4 linked regions of the Saccharomyces cerevisiae S288C genome follow. The protein of the gene in region 4 interacts with the protein of the main gene of each other region in a biochemical or structural test. Each region holds a gene or a part of one and is shown on either strand. Other genes may lie near its edges. The genes, in order: MTQ2, SUP35, ITT1 and SUP45.

Region 1 (3,982 bases), on a different chromosome or scaffold from region 4:
AAAGATTAAGCGGGGAATCGATTATTGCATTTTTGTTTAACTACGTGGATTCTGTAGAAAACTCTGCAATGGAGGAGTTTTATGGGGATTTCCTGCTATTTTTCAGAGAAGTAGCAACCAATTATAACCTTTATTCTGATGTTTCGTTGTCTATATTAAAACTTGTTGCCCTTATTTCTGGAAAAGTAAGTAAAACGCAGTTTGGAGAACAAAAACGAGTTAGGAGGGAGATATCTGATGTGTTTTTCAAATACCTACCTAATGCATTTATAAACTTTACGAACTTATATCGTGGCCACCCTGATTCATTTAAAGATTTAGAATTTGTAGTATGGCGTGTTCAATATATCGTCAACGATCAAATTGGAGGAGACAAGTTTAATACAACGTTAGCGACAATTGTAAATCAATGCCTAACCCCTTATATCAAACCCAAAAGTGAAAAAACTATTCCAGGTTATGTCTTAGAATTGGCCGCGGTCGTATCCCATTTAGGTTCAAAAGTTAAAAGTTGGAGGCTTTTAATTGCGGAATTGTTCCAAAATGACAAAAAACTTTCGGTAATTGGCAGCGATCAAACTTGGGAAAAGATTATTTACGAATGGTCCATTTATCCAGAAAATAAGTCAAAAATCTTGAACGATTTACTATTAGAAATTGGCTCCAAGCGTTCAAGTGTGACTCCGACTTTAATCACGTTTAACTTAGGAAGCGATTCTGAAGTCGAGTACAAGTGCCAAAACCTTTTGAAAATATCGTACTTGTTGATGGTATCGCCAAATGACGCATATTTGTTGCACTTTTCCTCTTTAATAAGTTGCATTTTCCACTATTTGGTGTCCAAAGATATCAAGCTCAAGGGAAGCTGCTGGATCTTACTAAGGGTTTTACTTTTAAGATTTTCAGAGTCCCATTTCAATGACTATTGGTCTATGATCAGTTACTGTTTACAAACTAATTTGCAAGAATTTTATGAATCACTTCAAATACAGTCAGAAGTCGATCCACAAACAATATTGCAAGTATGTAAAACTTTGGATTTGCTACTCTTACTCAACATGGAAGGCTTCACCTCTACGAATGAGTGGATCTTTGTTATTGATACAATAAATTGCGTATATAAAACGAACTCATTCGTCGCGCTGGTAGATGAAATCGCAGAATTCAAAGATTACGAAATAACCAAAACTGATGATCTTGAATTACCGACAACTTTAAAAGATGGTCTCCCATTATTACGAGGCATTCACAAAATCGAGAGACACACGCAACTAAGAAGCTTCTTCCAGAATTTGAGTTATCTACATTATGAGAAAGTTTACGGACTAGGGTCAGTTGATTTATATGGTTGTGGTGAAGATCTCAAAAAAGATATTCTGTCATGAGCATAGCTATGAATTTTTCTTTATAAACCGAAATATAGTTATACGCTTTGAGTAAAGACACAGGTTATCAATTATAACGTGAAAGGTTTTGCAACTGTCACCTTGTAAAGCTGTACACACTGAGGACTTCCCATCCCGCTTTTCTCGTTTCAATAAGTTTCACATTCCATTTGTAAGTATCGACAAACCTCTTAATGACTTCTTTAGGCTTATTTCTTGCACAAAATAATATATATGCAACACCATCTGGAGAAAGAATTTGTTCTAATTGTCGTAGCAGTTTATCAGTAATCGCCATCCCGTCTTTTCCACCCAATAACGCTAAATCTAGCCATTGGTCTGCCTCCTCTCTTGATCCTGGGACATCTGGCACACATTCTGCTGGCACATATGGTGGGTTAAATATTAGGACATCAACCTGATTATTCCGAATACTGGAGTTTAAATCAGCTTGAATCACTTCTAAAAAAGAACTTTTACATGAATTTAACTTCGCAGTATCCAAAGTTGCTTCGAGCGCCCATGGGTTGATATCAACAGCTAAGTGGATGGAATTTTCCTGCGGTATTATTTTGTTTTGCATTAGAAATGTTGTGACGATACCTGATCCCGAACCAATTTCGCAAACGATGGCCAAACGATTACCAAATTTCTGTTTCAAAAAATCATGCTCTTTTTCCAAACAGTCCAGTATGAGGAAGCTATCCTCAGCAGGCTCATATACTTTATCGTAATCGCATTTTACATAAGGGGTCGGTAGCATACTTCACCTTTCTCACCCTGTGTTAAGTTTATCAATATTATATTTCAGAGTATAATTATATCAATATTTATATGAAATCAAATTCCGATGGCGTCTTCGGGAAGGCAAACGAACAACTTTTAGCTGAAAAACCAAAATTCTGTTATTCAAATGAAGTATTCCGACAGAGGAATAAATAAAGGAAGGTAATTAACTTCCTTACAGCCGTAACCGATGATTGTTAAAGTGAAGACACTGACTGGGAAGGAGATCTCTGTTGAGCTGAAGGAATCAGATCTCGTATATCACATCAAGGAACTTTTGGAGGAAAAAGAAGGGATTCCACCATCTCAACAAAGACTTATATTCCAGGGAAAACAAATGTATGTTCATTCAGTGGTTAATTATCTTTTAAGTTTATTTACGTTTTTGAGACCTTACTAACGACCAGGATAGTGATGATAAATTAACAGTAACGGATGCACATCTAGTAGAGGGAATGCAACTCCACTTGGTATTAACACTAAGAGGTGGTAACTAGAACCATTTTCCGTCATTTATGGAATTTTATCGAAGGTGTTCATTAGAAAAGAAGACAAAACGAACATAAGTTCACTTGGACTTTGGAAGGCTACCGCCCCCAATTTGTCAAAAAAAAAAATACATACAATTTAGTCTATAGAGTCTGTTATAATAAATTAATTGTTTTTAGACGAGAAATGTGAACTAAAACTGTTTAGTATCTATCAAATTATCCGTTATAGCATAGTACGGCTATATATGGTCTGATTGCTGGTCTCATATGACTTTATGGTTTAAATTTCATAAAGCTGGCCATTGCATGGTTCGCGCTGGAAAGAGAGGAAAAGCGTGGTGATAAAGAGCAAACCAAGCATACTGTTATATGCGATTACAGACTATCTGACCAAAAGACATATTTCGCCATTTCTTCTCAATCATGTCTTCCAGGGCAATTTTGTAAGCACGATTGGATGTCCTCTTGTAGTATACCGAATTTCTCATTAAGAAAAGCATCCTTTGCGCTACAACTTTATCAAGTGGAAGTATATACTAAACTCGGAGCATGCTTTTGCCAACGATATCAGTCTTAGCAAAGGGACTTCTAAGGACGTTATTGACGCCTGATTAATCTAATCAAATATAGGTTTGTCATTTTTTTAAACCGAATGGATTGACTTTTGTTTTCATCATAAGTATTACTCTCTGATAGGATCTCTGTGGTACGCTAAAATCTATCTGAATTGTTTGGGACACTATGCATGAATTTCTTATCAGTTTAAAATTTCTATTAAGAGGATAATTTATTTCATATCTTGGGTAGATGAACCATTAGAAATGTTCGAAGTAGCTGCATTGTTATCTTCTGTTTTTGGATTTTCTAGTTGAGCTGTTGTATTCTGTGGAGCAAACTCCCCGGCAACACCACTGTCAGGATCTTGCGAAGAAACTTCCGAGCTTTTTATTTTGGTATTCTCTTCTGATATTTCTCCCTTTGGTTGCGTCTGTTCGCTCTTCAACTCATCTCCTTCTGTTTGAGAAGCGCTGTTTATACGTTGCGACTTAATTTTTTGCTCTCTTTCAGGAAACGAAGCCTCTTCTTCCAGTGCCCTCTTCTTTCTTTCCTTTCCAATCTTGTACTCCCTAGCATCCTGAAGTTTTTTCCTGTGCTCTTGATTGATTTTGTACAAAAGTTTCTCTTTGAAACTATCATCCAACGCTTCCACTTTTCTGGGTTCCTCGAACAAACCATCAACACCAGTCTTTTCGTTAACTTTATCAAAATCGAACAAGTATCGCGATCTTAGAAACCGTAAAGTTTGCCATTGTCTGATTA
Region 2 (5,575 bases), on a different chromosome or scaffold from region 4:
AAGGCATCATTGGAAAAAAGAGAGAGAATGAAAAGAGTCAGTGAGACGACGACTTCAGGATCTTTGGGTTTCAGGATATGTGGCATGAAAATACAGAAAAATCCCTCTGTGCTGAATCAGCTTTCGCTCGAATATTACGAAGAAGAAGCAGACAGTGATTATATCTTTATAAACAAATTGTATGGTCGTTCAAGAACCGATCAAAATGTTTCAGATGCAATTGAACTTTATTTTAACAATCCTCATCTGTCGGATGCGAGAAAGCATCAACTGAAGAAAACATTTTTGAAAAGATTGCAGTTGTTTTATAATACTATGCTAGAAGAAGAAGTTAGAATGATATCAAGTAGTCTTTTGTTTATTTACGAAGGAGACCCGGAGCGATGGGAATTACTAAATGATGTTGACAAACTTATGCGAGATGATTTTATAGACGATGATGACGACGATGATGATAATGATGATGATGATGATGATGATGCCGAGGGAAGCAGCGAAGGACCAAAGGACAAAAAAACAACTGGTTCTTTGAGTTCCATGTCACTAATAGATTTTGCACATTCTGAAATAACGCCGGGGAAGGGTTATGATGAAAACGTGATTGAAGGAGTTGAAACCTTGCTAGATATTTTTATGAAATTCTAGATATATTGAGAGGTGAAGTTTACCTTGTTTATGGTATATGGTACAAAAAGAACTAAACTAATTATACGTCTATATATATATATATATATATAACAGCTTTATTAAACCTTGTTTTTTAATATAGAAGAAAATGCTTTATGATCGGTATTATTGTGTTTGCATTTACTTATGTTTGCAAGAAATTTACTCGGCAATTTTAACAATTTTACCAATTGCTATTGTGGTACCTTGATCTCTCAAAGTGAATCTACCTAATTGAGGGTAATCTTGGTAAGTTTCCACACAAACTGGAGCTTCAGTTTCTAAAACAGCGATGACCTTCATACCCTTCTTAGCAAAAGCAGGTGGTTTCTTTGACTTACGGTTGGTACCCTTTTCTAATTTGTGCAATAACTTAACAATATGTACCTCTTCAATTGCTGTATGAACATGCATAACACATGAAAAACCGGCTGCTATGATAGATTTTAATTCTACAATAGCAATTTGAGCTACAAACTTGGTAACACTCTTGATAGGGTTCTTTGGCGATGTTAGTACAAAACCTGGTGAAATGTCTTCTTCTTCAACACCTTTGATTCTTAGTTTAACTTGCTCACCACACATAGCCATATCAACTTCATTTTCAGTTTCGTTGTAAATATTTTGAATTTCCACAGCGGTTTTGTTAGGCATCAGTAGGGTGGATTGACCCTTTTTGATATGACCGGATTCAATTTTACCTTCAACGATGGTACCTAGATCCTTCATCTTAGCGGCAATAGGCAACATGAATGGAGCATTGATGTGACGGTCGACGTGGTTCATTGTATCCAGATATTCTAACAGAGTTGGGCCGGTGTACCATGGGCATTCTTTTGGATCTACGTGATCTTTCAAATTTGCACCACTGTAGCCGGATACTGGCATAAATACAACGTCTGTCTTAATGTTGTAACCAATTGCTCTCAAGAAATTGCTGACATTACTCACACATTGGTCGTAACGTTCCTTAGACCAGTTAACGGTTGGGTCATCCATCTTATTTACGACGACAACCATCTTATTAACACCTTGGGTCTTGGCCAATAGGGCGTGTTCACGAGTTTGACCACCTCTCTCAAAACCGGTTTCGTACTCACCCTTTCTGGCGGAAATGACCAAAACACCAACATCAGCTTGAGAAGCACCACCGATCATCTCGGAAACGTACATTTTATGACCAGGAGCATCCAATATGGTATAACGCCTTTTTTCAGTTTCAAAGTAGGCCTTACCAACTTCGATAGTCTTACCATCATTTCTTTCTTCTTTGTTGGTATCCATGACCCATGACAAGTACCAACCTTGTCTGCCTGCATCCTTGGCTTCTCTTTCATATTTCTCAATAGTTCTCTTATCCACAGAGCCAGTCAAGTATAGTAGATTACCACCCATAGTAGATTTACCGGCATCAACATGACCCATGAAAATTAAAGAAACGTGATCTTTACCACCAAACATATCGTTAACAACTTCGTCATCCACTTCTTCTTCCTGTTCCTTGATCAAGGCATCAGCACTGGTAACATTGGCATTGTTGGTATTATGTGTTGATTCAGAGATTTTAAGGTCTTCTACCTTTGGAAGTTCCGATTTTTCCTCCGTCTTTTCTTCAGTCTGGACTGGTTTCTCCTCCTTTTTAACTGGTTCTTCGACCTTTGTTGGCTCTTTAGTTGGTTCTTTGGTTTCAGCAGACTTCTCTTCCTCTTTCTTATCAGATTCGGCAGGTTTTGTGCCAACCTTCTTGGTAGCATTGGCCAACTTGATACCGGAACTGGAGACAAGCTTCAAAGTCTTCTTTGGTTTGGGAGCGGCCTGCTTTTGTTGCTTTTGAAAGTCGTTCAAAGACATACCTTGAGACTGTGGTTGGAAACCAGCTTGATATCCTTGCAAATTGTTATTGTAGTTGAAGTTTTTGTAATTTCCACGGCCACCTTGTGGATTGAATTGCTGCTGATAACCGCCTTGAGGATTGTACTGTTGATAGCCTCCTTGAGGATTATACTGTTGCTGGTAACCGGCGTCGGGATTGTACTGTTGATAGCCACCTTGTTGGTACCCAGAATAACCTTGGTAATTTTGGTAGTACCCACCTGCAGGTTGGGCTTGAGCATTGTAAGCTTGATAACCTTGGTATCTGTTGTTACCTTGTTGTTGGTTACCGTTCTGGCTGTATTGCTGGTAGTTTTGCTGATTGTTGCCTTGGTTTGAATCCGACATTGTTGCTAGTGGGCAGATATAGATGTTATTCCGAGCAAGTCGATGAAGAAACCGCTTTTTGTTACAGTACAATGGAGTCTTTCAAGAGAAGATGTACCAATATACACTACACTCTTCAGAAGCAATGGGAGCTTTGGTCGAGTGAAAAAAAAATTTTCTCCATAAAGAAAGATCATATTATACGATGATGTAAGATATAATACCCGGTTGTAATGTACATTTAAGAGCAAGGTAAGAAGTGACAATAACTTCTGTATGATCTTAGCATGTACCTCTTTTGGTGGGCTGAGAACTAAGATTCATCTTTTTGCGGAAGAATTTTGCTATGAACTTCACAACTTTATGAAGTGGTTTAAGAGAATTACAAAAGAAATGACACAGACTCGAACACTGTGACGCGTCGTCTTAGTAAAAAATAATAATTTGAGTCAAATAGCGCAGCTAATGCGAAACAAAGAAATGAAGCATATACCATTCGTTGTATGATTTTTGTGTGGTTGACAGATATTCTGCCGAAATTTTAACGCTTATTATAAATATAAATGTATGTATGTGTGTATAAACAGATACGATATTCAATTTTCTACCGTAGGGTTGGGATTTTCTTCAAACTCCAATTCTTCGTCGGGTATTTCCTCAATGGCGATCCTCTTTTTTGGCTTCGGCTTTTCAGTGTCATTGACAATTTTAGGCACCTTAATTTGTAGTAGACCGTTGTTGTAAGTAGCTTTAATTTCTTCGTCCTTAATGCGTGGCAGCACGGGGAATTTAACGGTTCTCTCAAACGCACCATATTTTAGTTCCGTGATCTTCAAGAATTTTTCATCAATGCCCACTCTGTCTTCGATCTTACCCTTGATGAGCATCTCATGAGAAGATGGATGGTAATCAATGTGGAAAGCCCTAGAGTTAGCACCTGGTAACGCAAGAACAACTACGTAAGTGTCCTCGGTATCATAGACATTCACTTCTGGTGAAAATGGTAAGTCCATTCTCGTTTCAGGCTTGGATACTTGTAACGGGTCAGGTATTGGGGAAGGCGCTTGTAGGTGAGCGAACGATGAAGATTTTTTGGCTAATGGTGGTCTCGACGATTCCTCCAGCTGATTCAAAGGTTTTTCTTTGTTGGTTTCGCCAGCTTCCTCTTTGGGTGCTTCAGACTTATCCTTCTTATCCTTTTCTTCTCCCTTTTCGCCCTCCTGTTCGGTATTTGCTTCAATTTCTGGTTCAGTGCCTTCATATGGTGGAACACCTATTAACGCGGTTAATAAGTCGTTTAAACTGTTTGCCTGTTGGTTGGTCCTATTATTCCTGGCAGTATTACAATGGTAATATGATGGATATCTTCTCGAGTTGCTGTCCTCGCCACCATCTTCCTGTCTTGTAGTGCCGCTGTCACCCACCATATCTTCGTCTTGGTCCTCTTCTTCACCATCCTCGTCATCATAACCGTATTCAGGACTATAGTAATAGGCTTGTCCAGGGAACTGGTAGTAATAGGTATTAGGAACACCATTGTATCTGCTATACAATGGATGATGACGAGGATGATGCCCGCCAACGTGCACTTGTCCATAATGGGGATGGTATCTCTGTGGCCTTTGTGGTTGGCGAGGATATCCTTGCTGCCCTCTCTGGCCAGTTTGGTTGGATAATGCGTTCAAAACGTCATAAAGAGATAGGGATGGTTGATAAAAACTCATTGCTTCGGCTTGGTATGATCTTAATTTGTGTGGGATATGGACAATTGCCTGAACGTGTCCCTATGTTATGTATAATTATACTTCTTGACCGTATGTATGAGAATAAAAGATAGTTCCTGCCGGGATCAAAAAAACGATGACAGCAAGTCTTATATAACTAACTTCACAGAGGCCTCCCCCCTGCCGCCAAGGCCGCCCCTGTATTCGCCCCTGAGCAGTTCTCAATTCGCGAACCTTCCAGAACTTTTAAGCGCGTGTTCCAGGCGTTGCCGCCTAGCCACTGTTGGCCTCCGCCAAATTACTCCGGCAACACACCTATATAACTGCTCGAGCGGCTGATAGGGAAAGCTGAATTGAAGTATGTCATATCCTGTTTTAAACAAGTCTCGTTTTATGCTACTCTTCTCGAGAGCCAAGCATTACCATTCCATCTCTTGCTATTTTATTGTTCTTCTTAAAATGTTCACTTTTTCCCTTGCTCACTTGTTACCCAACCCCAGCTAAATATTAAAAATTTGGAAGAGAGTTTGGACAGTACACTACGTATTGAAGTACTCTTCAATTCAGGCGCGGCCTAAATTGTAAGTGATCTGGCAAGATGATATCCAGGAATGAAAATATCAATCGTAGAAACAGTAACCGTCTTGAATAAAAATCAAATATCATCTGCCAAATAGTACCCATATTACTAGTACATCATTATATGTGGCACAAGAAGTTAACGTGAAGAAACAGTTCTTATGTTTTATAAAAGCTGAAGCGCAAGAATCAATAAATTTAACATGAAAGAAAAAAACTTCTAGGACATTCTGTTTCACCTAATATTATAGCCTTTAACAATAACGTAATCCAAAAAAATTATCCGGTTATTCTCCTCTCACTAATCTTGCAATTCAGCTTCGTAAAATACTACTGTTTATATATGTTGGTTGCTATCGGTACTTTAGACTATGTGAATATTGGGAATTTTGAGATTTTTTGCTTTT
Region 3 (4,957 bases), on a different chromosome or scaffold from region 4:
TTATAGCATGGACCGAGTTTGGTGAATACTTCGGTGGTTATATTGACCAGCAGTACGTAGTGGACAGTCAAGTTAGAGATACCGTTCAAATTAATATGGATATATACGTCAACACGAAATGTGATTGGTTGCAAATCAACGTCAGAGACCAAACAATGGATCGGAAACTTGTATTAGAGGAATTGCAATTGGAAGAGATGCCATTCTTTATTCCTTATGACACAAAAGTCAATGATATCAATGAAATTATTACGCCGGAATTGGATGAAATCTTAGGGGAAGCTATCCCAGCAGAATTTAGAGAAAAACTAGATACTAGGTCATTTTTTGATGAAAGTGATCCTAACAAGGCACATCTTCCGGAATTCAATGGGTGCCATGTATTTGGGTCCATTCCGGTAAATAGAGTTAGTGGCGAATTGCAGATTACAGCGAAGAGTTTAGGTTACGTGGCTTCACGCAAAGCACCACTGGAAGAATTAAAATTTAATCATGTTATTAATGAGTTCTCTTTTGGTGATTTCTATCCATATATTGATAACCCATTGGATAACACTGCACAGTTTAATCAGGATGAACCTTTAACTACTTACGTCTATTACACATCTGTTGTGCCCACTCTTTTCAAGAAATTGGGGGCAGAAGTGGATACTAATCAATATTCTGTTAACGATTACCGCTATTTGTACAAAGATGTCGCTGCTAAAGGTGATAAAATGCCGGGCATCTTCTTCAAATACAATTTCGAACCATTATCCATAGTAGTTTCTGATGTTCGTTTAAGCTTTATACAGTTTTTGGTCAGATTAGTGGCAATCTGCTCATTTTTGGTCTACTGTGCTTCGTGGATTTTCACACTACTGGATATGGCTCTTATCACCATCATGGGACCTAAGTGGTCCTTGCGTTATCAGCCAGATGATAAAACTAAGGGTATTTTAGATAGGTAGATATGTAAAAGAAAAGAGAATGCAGTATACCCAAGATAACGTTTCATTTTCATCTGTATAAATTTCATGACAATAGATTATAAGAAAAAGTGTGAGACTGAAGGCAGAGCGATCGCACTCAAGTTTCTGTGCCAGGCATACCTTCAAACAATCGTCCATAACAGCCTGAATATGCTTCTCTAAAATGTTCATAAGGGTCCTCAGGATAAAGTAATACTCCGCATATAAAACAGAACAGCGTCCCGCATACTTCGCATTTCATTTTATTGCAACCTTCACTTCTTTCTACAACTACCTTACACTTTGGACATCGCTGCAAATTCGAACCCTCTTTTTTAATCGCTAAATCTAACATTTTTTCAGCAAGGTAATCATTGACTTCAAGTTCTAATACTCTTCTCCCATATTTTGCCTCCAGTTTCCGCTTTCTCTCATATGAAGTAACGGTATCATCTAGATATTCCTCAATAATATCGGTCGATAACGAAACTTTCTTGCCACATTTATTGTTGTAACCATGCCAGGCATGCAAGCAGTCAAAGCAAAATACAAAATGACATTTTTGACACTGAATCATCGCATCATCGAGGTCTTCTTTTGTGCACCAACTATCACATCTTCGACAAGTCACACAAGCATACGGACAATATTTTGAGAGTCTTGTAGCCGCCTGGTTGTAGAACATTTTTTCGTATCTTTCACATAGCTCTGTATCGATAACCTCTTTTAAGAAGGACACTGGAATCAAAGGTGTAAACAATGCCTTCAGCATTTTTTTATAGCTCTTGAAATCTTCTAGTTTTAATTCTTTGTATTCGCATTGTGGACATCTTACACTGGATATTCGGTTTTCCTGAATCATTGCAGTGAAATAAGATTTGGCGCATCCTCTGCAAAGATAGTGTTCTACATTCGCATTTTCACATGGCAATTTGATCATTCTAACACCCTTTTCCATTTCCATACAAATACAACAATGGTAGTTAGATCTGCTCACTTTTTGGAGGGTGGCTTCCTCACTTATCTGCTTAAACAAGTCATACTGATCCTGTGTCAGGCACTTTCTTATTCCATTAGGGAATAGTAATATAGCTGTATCATCTATAAGAAACCCAAAGATGAGGATAAGGATGGAGGTAAACGAATCCGCGAACTCAATACTCATATCTACAGTTTCTTCAACGAGTCTCAGCGCTTTGTCAATTAACATCTTCTTTTCATCTGTTGATATCCATAAGGATTTGATATCCATAACAACACACCGTCGAATGTCCGGATAATGACAGCTATATATGGTGAACTCCACGCATTCATTAGATAAGTTTGAAAGTAACATATGTTGCTCGCCGAACTCAATATTTACATCGGCCAATAGTGATATCTTGAACAGTAACTTTCCGTTAATTCTTTGAGGGAATTCACCTTCCTCCTCTACTTTTACCGATTTCATTTCCAGTTCTGGGTACATATCTCTTAATATTTCCAAATCATTTTCAAACTGAGTCAAAGCCATTTTACTCCCTGGTCTTTCATCAGTTATATTAGTTTTCTGTAATTCGTTATTCTACACCATGACATAACTTACTGGTGACTAAATGAGAAAAGCAAAGTCCCTTTCTCTTGCTTGTTATTTATTTTTGAACCCTTTACACTATTTGTCTTTTTTTCATCACCCAATCGAAAAGTTGAAAGTATTTTTCAAGCATTGAAAGGGTAGAGGAGATTAACAAAACATAAATATTTTGCAAAACAAAACCAATTTCAAATAAATGTATAGAATAACACCAGTAATTAAGAGGTGGTGTCTTACACTCACCATGTCATGATAATATCAATTGGCAAAATATATTAGTTAGTTTTTACACAATATCAATAAATTTAACTTATACAGTCTAAAATTATTACTATTCTACCTTAGGCTTCTTCGAAGGCCTTTCTTCGTCGCTACCCCCCTCAGCATCACTTAAAGCCGCATCTGAATCAAACTCTTCTGCAACTTCGTCTGCGTCATTATCAGAGCTGACCTGAAAATCCTCATCTACTGATTCATCATCTTCACCAGCGGAACCCATATTAATATCCTCTTCGTCACTGTCTGAACCTAAAGCGGTTTGTAACCTTTCTTGTACCTCTCTATCTTCATTCTTCACCCTTAGGTTTTTAGACTTTAGGAATTGTTCCAATAATTGCTGCTCTTCCTTACTGATGTTGGCAAAAGTGGTAGAACCTCTATTTGAACGCAGTACCACTTCCAAATCAAACGTCCTCGATGACGTAGAAGTTTGTCCTGCTCTTGAAATGTTTACCATGCTAACATCACTGAATGGTATGTACAAAGTTGGCTTAGTTAAAAAGAAGAAAGCGTTATCTAATGGATACAAATAACCTTCGTTTGCTTTGAAAGAACATGAAACTGCACACTGATCATATTTGGATTTATATTCTCCAGGAACAATGACTCTACGGTCAGTCAGACCTTTTAATACATGACTTAAAACTATATGAGTTTTAGCATCATATTGTTTTTTCAATTTATCCTTATAATTTTCCTCATAATCTTCATCTTCTAGATTCAATTGCACTTCTGTTTCCTCATCTTTCTGAAATTGTAAGACAAGAAAGGGGTAGGTGGTCTGTCCTTGACGTAAAGGAGGTTCAATTGCCAAAACCAATAAGTGATGGATATCATCTGCCTTTGGTAACGAAACAATTCTTTGTATTTGACGATGTTGCAATTTGTATTCATAGGTCTTACCCCTGAGTCTAATGGAGTTCTTGTAAATATCGATATCATAACGACCTCTTGGCGTGGTAAAAAAGACGTCTTGGAAGGAAACTATTGCATCACCAGCGACTTCCCCGATGTCTGCCTTTTCCTTTAGTTCTTCATAGAATGCTTCTGCCATACTCTTTTCCTCTACTGCCATTTGTACATCTTCTCCTTCAGCACCATCTTCTTTCTTTGGTACGACCTCGTTGCTTGACTCTTCCTTTTTGGTCATGTTTTCATCGACGTTTGTTTGAATAACACCAGGAATATAGAACCTCATCTCTACCAATTCGTCACCGGCTGGTTGGTACTCTTCATCTTGAATATTAAATTCTATTCCTACTTCATTTTTAGAGGTCAAATTTGTATTATTTATTCTAGCATAAGGAATTTCAAAAGTTGGTTTACCATTTAAAGCAAAAACCATTTCATTCCTGGCAAGGTCTGTCTTACCCCAGTTCCAACCACGTAAGGAATGTTCTCTTTGCTCTACCTGAATATTAAAACGGCGATGGAAATCATTCTTGATTAAGTTATAGTCATCCTGAGAAAATCCATCTAGTTGGATAACACCTTGATTTTTGGTATTTATCTTCAAGTCGTAACCCCTGCAGCCCCTACTCCATTGGACGGTAGATAATTCTGTGGCTGGTAATAAAAATGGTTTTCTTGCCTGATTTGCTGCAGAGCCACCACTGGTACTAATTTTCCACCCTAACCCAGAATCAGCAATACGGAATCTACCGCTAAATTTAGATTGGTTCAAGTAAATTCTATCAAAGTCGGTACTCATAATTCTTGTTCAACAATACTAGATTGTTCCTTCACTTGTTAACGGTATTTCCTTCTTGTTCTTACCACCGATTCAACATCTAGCTACTCTCATACTATGTATATCTCTGACACTCGCGTTAACATTTCACCAGTTTAACGATTCGTTTCGCGTTGAACCGGGTTATACAATCGTTCTTCGCGATGATAATAACAATAACTCCAAGAAAAGTAAGCTTTTTCTATATATATATATCATAAGTATCTTGATATGTATTCGTGAGCCAAGTACTTACAAGGCGCTTTGAACCCCCTTCAAAAACTCACATAGGCCTACTGCACCAGGATCTTCTACTTGAGATGAATCGCCGACATACGAAGCTCTGCCAAATTTGGCCTCGAATGTAGCAGTGGATTTAGCACCTTCCTCTGCAGCTTTTACCGCCTTATTGAAATCCTTAGATGC
Region 4 (4,888 bases):
ACTCCTACAAGAGAACTGGCGCATCAAGTCACAGACCACTTAAAAAAGATCTGTGAGCCTGTTCTAGCGAAATCTCAGTACTCGATATTATCTTTGACAGGTGGACTCTCTATCCAAAAACAACAACGTCTATTAAAGTACGATAATAGTGGCCAAATTGTCATCGCAACACCAGGTAGATTTTTGGAACTGTTGGAAAAAGACAACACTTTAATCAAAAGATTCTCGAAAGTAAATACGCTAATCCTTGATGAGGCTGATAGGCTGTTACAAGACGGTCATTTCGACGAGTTCGAAAAAATCATTAAACATTTATTAGTAGAAAGAAGGAAAAACAGAGAAAACTCCGAGGGCAGTAGCAAAATTTGGCAAACTTTGATCTTTTCTGCAACATTCTCCATCGACTTGTTTGATAAGCTATCTTCTTCCCGTCAAGTTAAGGATAGAAGGTTTAAAAACAACGAAGATGAGCTAAATGCCGTAATACAACACTTAATGAGCAAAATTCACTTCAACTCAAAGCCGGTTATAATAGATACAAATCCTGAGTCAAAAGTGAGCTCTCAAATCAAAGAATCCTTAATTGAATGTCCTCCATTAGAACGTGACCTATACTGCTATTACTTTTTAACCATGTTCCCAGGTACAACTTTGATCTTTTGTAATGCCATTGACTCCGTGAAGAAATTGACCGTATACTTAAATAACCTAGGCATCCCAGCTTTTCAAATTCATTCTTCCATGACACAAAAGAACCGTTTGAAAAGCTTAGAAAGGTTCAAGCAACAAAGCGCTAAACAGAAAACAATAAATCATTCGAATCCGGATTCCGTTCAACTCTCAACAGTATTGATTGCAAGTGATGTTGCTGCTAGAGGTTTAGATATTCCGGGTGTTCAACACGTTATTCATTACCACTTACCAAGATCTACTGATATTTATATTCATAGATCAGGCAGAACTGCAAGAGCAGGTTCTGAAGGTGTCTCTGCCATGATATGCTCACCTCAAGAATCTATGGGCCCATTAAGAAAGTTAAGAAAAACTCTCGCTACAAAAAATAGTGTTTCGACGGATTTGAACTCTAGATCAACTAACAGAAAACCCATCAAGTGGCAAAACACTGTGCCTTTGTTACCAATTGAAACCGATATACTTTCACAACTCAGAGAAAGAAGTAGATTAGCAGGCGAACTGGCTGATCATGAAATTGCTTCTAATTCCCTAAGAAAAGATGACAATTGGTTAAAAAAGGCTGCTGATGAATTAGGTATTGACGTTGATTCCGACGAAGACGATATATCAAAGAGTAATTCGGACACTTTCTTACTAAAAAATAAAAATAAAAAAATGCAGAAGACTATAAATAAGGACAAGGTAAAAGCCATGAGAGCTACGTTGAACGAATTGTTATCAGTGCCTATACGTAAAGATAGAAGACAGAAATATTTGACAGGTGGGCTAGTGAATTTAGCTGATAACTTGGTCAAAAAAAGAGGTCATAATTCTATCATTGGTCATGAAAAGACAAACGCCTTAGAAACTTTGAAGAAAAAGAAAAAGAGAAATAATTAATCTCGAGGCTTTTGAAGAGAAACTCTCCTTTCACTGTATTTTCTACGTAATATACACGGTCCTCTAAACCCACTATGTACTTTCAACAAAGGAATTAGCTCAATATAGAGCAAAAGGTTTACCAAGTATATATTATATTGTACAAAAAATTAAAAGCGAATTTAATTTAAATCTGGCATCTAGTGATTAAATTCTTTTTGATTCGATTTTTTTCTCCCCCTTTTATTTATTTAAATGAAATCATAGTCGGATCCTTCATCTTCGTCATAATATTCATCCTCAGATTCATCAACTAGTTGTTCAAAATTAACTTTGTAACGCAGCATGGCACCAATACCACCAAAACCTGTGACAAATTGGGCACCTTCTGAAGATTTGTCTGTGATGAATTCCAAGGTAGCACCGAAGTTTTTGTAGTTAGCTGCTAGCCATTCAATTAAAGGTTCTTCGGAGACAACGTCCATTTCTTGGCCGGTAGCTTTGTCAATAGCAAACGACTTGTCCTTGGCTTCTGGTTCAGCGAATTTTATAACCTCATTATCCTCGGCATCTTTAAATGTATATCTGATAGTTTCCAAATTTTCGAAAACAATTAATTTTTCGACTGCACCTAAATCCAATGCCTTTAAAGTATCATCTATACCATAACAGAATTTACCAGTGTCCTGGGAAATTTCGTCAAAATATGCCTCCAATAATTTCTTTTCTTGAACATACTTGACATTGGCCAACGCTTCGGCAGAAAGTTCGATAGCCTGGTTGAAACCGTTTTCACCACCATAAGAAACATCCACGATGGAAATAACCTTACATGCTAGTCTTGGATCGAATAATTCAGATTTAGCCAAATCGGTCTTAAAGTCAGCAGAACCAGCTAAAATTAAACCCTTAACATTGACTTTGTCATTAGTAATAAAATTTTGAACAGCAACTTCGGCGACCTTTCTCACATAATTATGTCTTTTTTCTTCTCTTAAACGAGCAAAACGAAGCGCAGATTGACCACCTCTACCATGCTTTTTTGGCAGATCGACAGTAAATTTATGTAAAACAGTTCTCGTATTACCGGACACAGAACCAAACAAAGTACCTTGACCGTCCATGACTATAAAACCGAACTTGTCGTCAGCTTGAAGCAATTCCGAAAGAACTTCTGTATGAAATTTGTTATCACACAAATATAAGGATGTGTTGATAGGTTTGTAAGGTTCGATGTCAAAAGTGACCTTTTTTTCTTTACCATCTTCAGTGATGATATCACCACAATATAAAACTAAACCGTTCTTGGGCAAAGTATTATATAGCTTCAACTTTTGTTGGGTGGAAGTGATAGCAGATAAAACGGAAAGACGATTAACCCTAGATTTAATATTCGAGGCAGTACCATATTCATCTGTTAACATTTTTTGGTACAGTGGAATTTGACCCTTAGGAGGAATAACTAAGGAAATCATAGAAGTACCATTACCTCTAGCTTTTTCTAAAGATTGGACCAACTTCTTGACCTTCCAGATCTCAATATTTTTTTCAACCTCGTTATCCATTATTGAAGTATTTCCTTTGTCTATTTCTGTAGTCTTAATAAGGAGACAAGCCGAAATGAATTAAGAAATAAAGGTGTCGTTAAGGCCACACCAACAGTATATCAGTTAAAAATACAGTGATGTATTTCATTGATTTGACGCTTAGCACTGGATTTCTGAAAAAATTTTTCATTCAGGGTCAACGGAATAATCCGGGTAATAAAGACGGCGCTATCAAACGGTATTACTGAAAAATGTACAAATGATGAGAGAGCAAGTGACTTAAGTATTCTTCGTACATGCGGTAGCGACAGATTGTAGTTTATGATCTGGTTATAATACCATGTATAAATTGGAAGGATCTAAGCTAAAGTAAATTATGAATTGAATACTGCCCTTCAAAAATTAGATTTTGACAGGATGCTTTTTAACAAGTCTGTTATCCTCTTCATGGAATCACAAATTTAACCAGATATTTGCAGCAGCTATTGGGGGAAATGATGTAGCTAAGGTCTACCTCATACTGCTCATATCCAGCTTTTTACTTACTTTTCGTTTCAAGGCTCCCATACTATCTATAATGAGTAGAAATATCAGATGACTATGTCATTTTGAAGTTGGTTAGAATTTGCTTTTTGGTTTCGACAGCATGTGCACATTCATCATTGACCTTCGCTAAAGGTAGCGCCACCAAAAAGGAGCAATGAATTGAAATAAAGTTCTCAGTCCTCTACTTGTCCAGTTCTTGGCACATTGTAGAGTCTTACGTCAAATGTTCTGTTGGCTCACATACGTGCTCTTCGTATTTTCCATGAATAACTTCAGCTATTTATGTAAATGACGCTCATACTCTTTATAAATCTGAAAATAAATAGCACGCATATACAAAGTGGATCAAGAGGCGTTATATCCAAACATTTCAGACAGAAGATTATATAATGTAACAGAAAAAGTTTTAAAAATTTTGGAATAAAGGAAAAGGTGGTTGGGGAAGAGAATAGAGCTACAGCAAGTAAAAAGGTGCTTTCCTCGAAGTTGCGTCGAAGATGAATGAAAGTAGTTGCTAATTCTTACTAGCACATGAAAAAAAAGGATATATATAATTTTACAAGTAGTGTCTTCATGACGGATTCATAGTCTATCCAAGCGTTTGCCCAAAATTTTGCAGTAAATTTAATGTTTTCTGTATAGGATAATGGTGCGCCATTCAAGTCCCGCGAAAAATGACTGATGTCTACAGGACAGGGGCGCAATATATGTTCTCTGACATTGCACCTTTTGAATATATCATGTGTTTGTTCTGCTATCTGCTTGTAGAAGGGTACGCTAACAGAGCCGGCGGCATTGTAAAAAGTTCTCCTTTCGCGGAAGGATGAGTCAAAAAGCATGTGACAATGAAATAATCAAATTGTGACATCTGCTGACGCGGGATCGTTCCTTCGTATTGTCTAGATTGTAATCTATATAACATACTACGAATATAAAAGAGGGACTACAAGATATTTCTAGCGCAAACTACTGCTTTACTGTCTCACAATGTCTCTGATTGGAAGATACCTAAGAAAATTATTTAACTACATATCTACAAAATCAAAGCATCATGCCTTCGCAAGTCATTCCTGAAAAACAAAAGGCTATTGTCTTTTATGAGACAGATGGAAAATTGGAATATAAAGACGTCACAGTTCCGGAACCTAAGCCTAACGAAATTTTAGTCCACGTTAAATATTCTGGTGTTTGTCATAGTGACTTGCACGCGTGGCACGGTGATTGGCCATTTCAATTGAAAT

The links.
Region 1: of the proteins of SUP45 (region 4) and MTQ2, one has a biochemical effect on the other in vitro, tested with the Saccharomyces cerevisiae proteins (one study listed by BioGRID).
Region 2: the proteins of SUP45 (region 4) and SUP35 form a complex in vitro, tested with the Saccharomyces cerevisiae proteins (6 studies listed by BioGRID, with this or other methods).
Region 3: the proteins of SUP45 (region 4) and ITT1 form a complex in vitro, tested with the Saccharomyces cerevisiae proteins (one study listed by BioGRID).

What each region holds. Positions count from the first base shown.
Region 1 is NC_001136.10:732,304-736,285, reverse strand, and holds MTQ2 (S-adenosylmethionine-dependent methyltransferase), read right to left. Parts: upstream 2,149-3,982; coding exon 1,483-2,148; downstream 1-1,482. Other genes in the region: DOP1 (Dop1p), read left to right, coding at 1-1,385; NEDD8 family protein RUB1, read left to right, coding at 2,362-2,510, 2,584-2,668; HPR1 (Hpr1p), read right to left, coding at 3,450-3,982.
Region 2 is NC_001136.10:805,635-811,209, reverse strand, and holds SUP35 (translation termination factor GTPase eRF3), read right to left. Parts: upstream 2,887-5,575; coding exon 829-2,886; downstream 1-828. Other genes in the region: ARG82 (inositol polyphosphate multikinase), read left to right, coding at 1-645; heat shock protein HSP42, read right to left, coding at 3,462-4,589. UniProt on the Saccharomyces cerevisiae protein: GTPase component of the eRF1-eRF3-GTP ternary complex, a ternary complex that mediates translation termination in response to the termination codons UAA, UAG and UGA.
Region 3 is NC_001145.3:135,056-140,012, reverse strand, and holds ITT1 (RBR-type E3 ubiquitin transferase), read right to left. Parts: upstream 2,464-4,957; coding exon 1,069-2,463; downstream 1-1,068. Other genes in the region: ERV41 (Erv41p), read left to right, coding at 1-950; FACT complex subunit POB3, read right to left, coding at 2,855-4,513; DAK1 (dihydroxyacetone kinase), read right to left, coding at 4,784-4,957. UniProt on the Saccharomyces cerevisiae protein: E3 ubiquitin-protein ligase involved in translation quality control. Involved in the rescue of stalled ribosomes by promoting ubiquitination and degradation of proteins on stalled ribosomes.
Region 4 is NC_001134.8:529,064-533,951, forward strand, and holds SUP45 (translation termination factor eRF1), read right to left. Parts: upstream 3,120-4,888; coding exon 1,806-3,119; downstream 1-1,805. Other genes in the region: MAK5 (ATP-dependent RNA helicase), read left to right, coding at 1-1,575; YBR144C (uncharacterized protein), read right to left, coding at 4,172-4,486; alcohol dehydrogenase ADH5, read left to right, coding at 4,699-4,888. UniProt on the Saccharomyces cerevisiae protein: Component of the eRF1-eRF3-GTP ternary complex, a ternary complex that mediates translation termination in response to the termination codons. The eRF1-eRF3-GTP complex binds to a stop codon in the ribosomal A-site.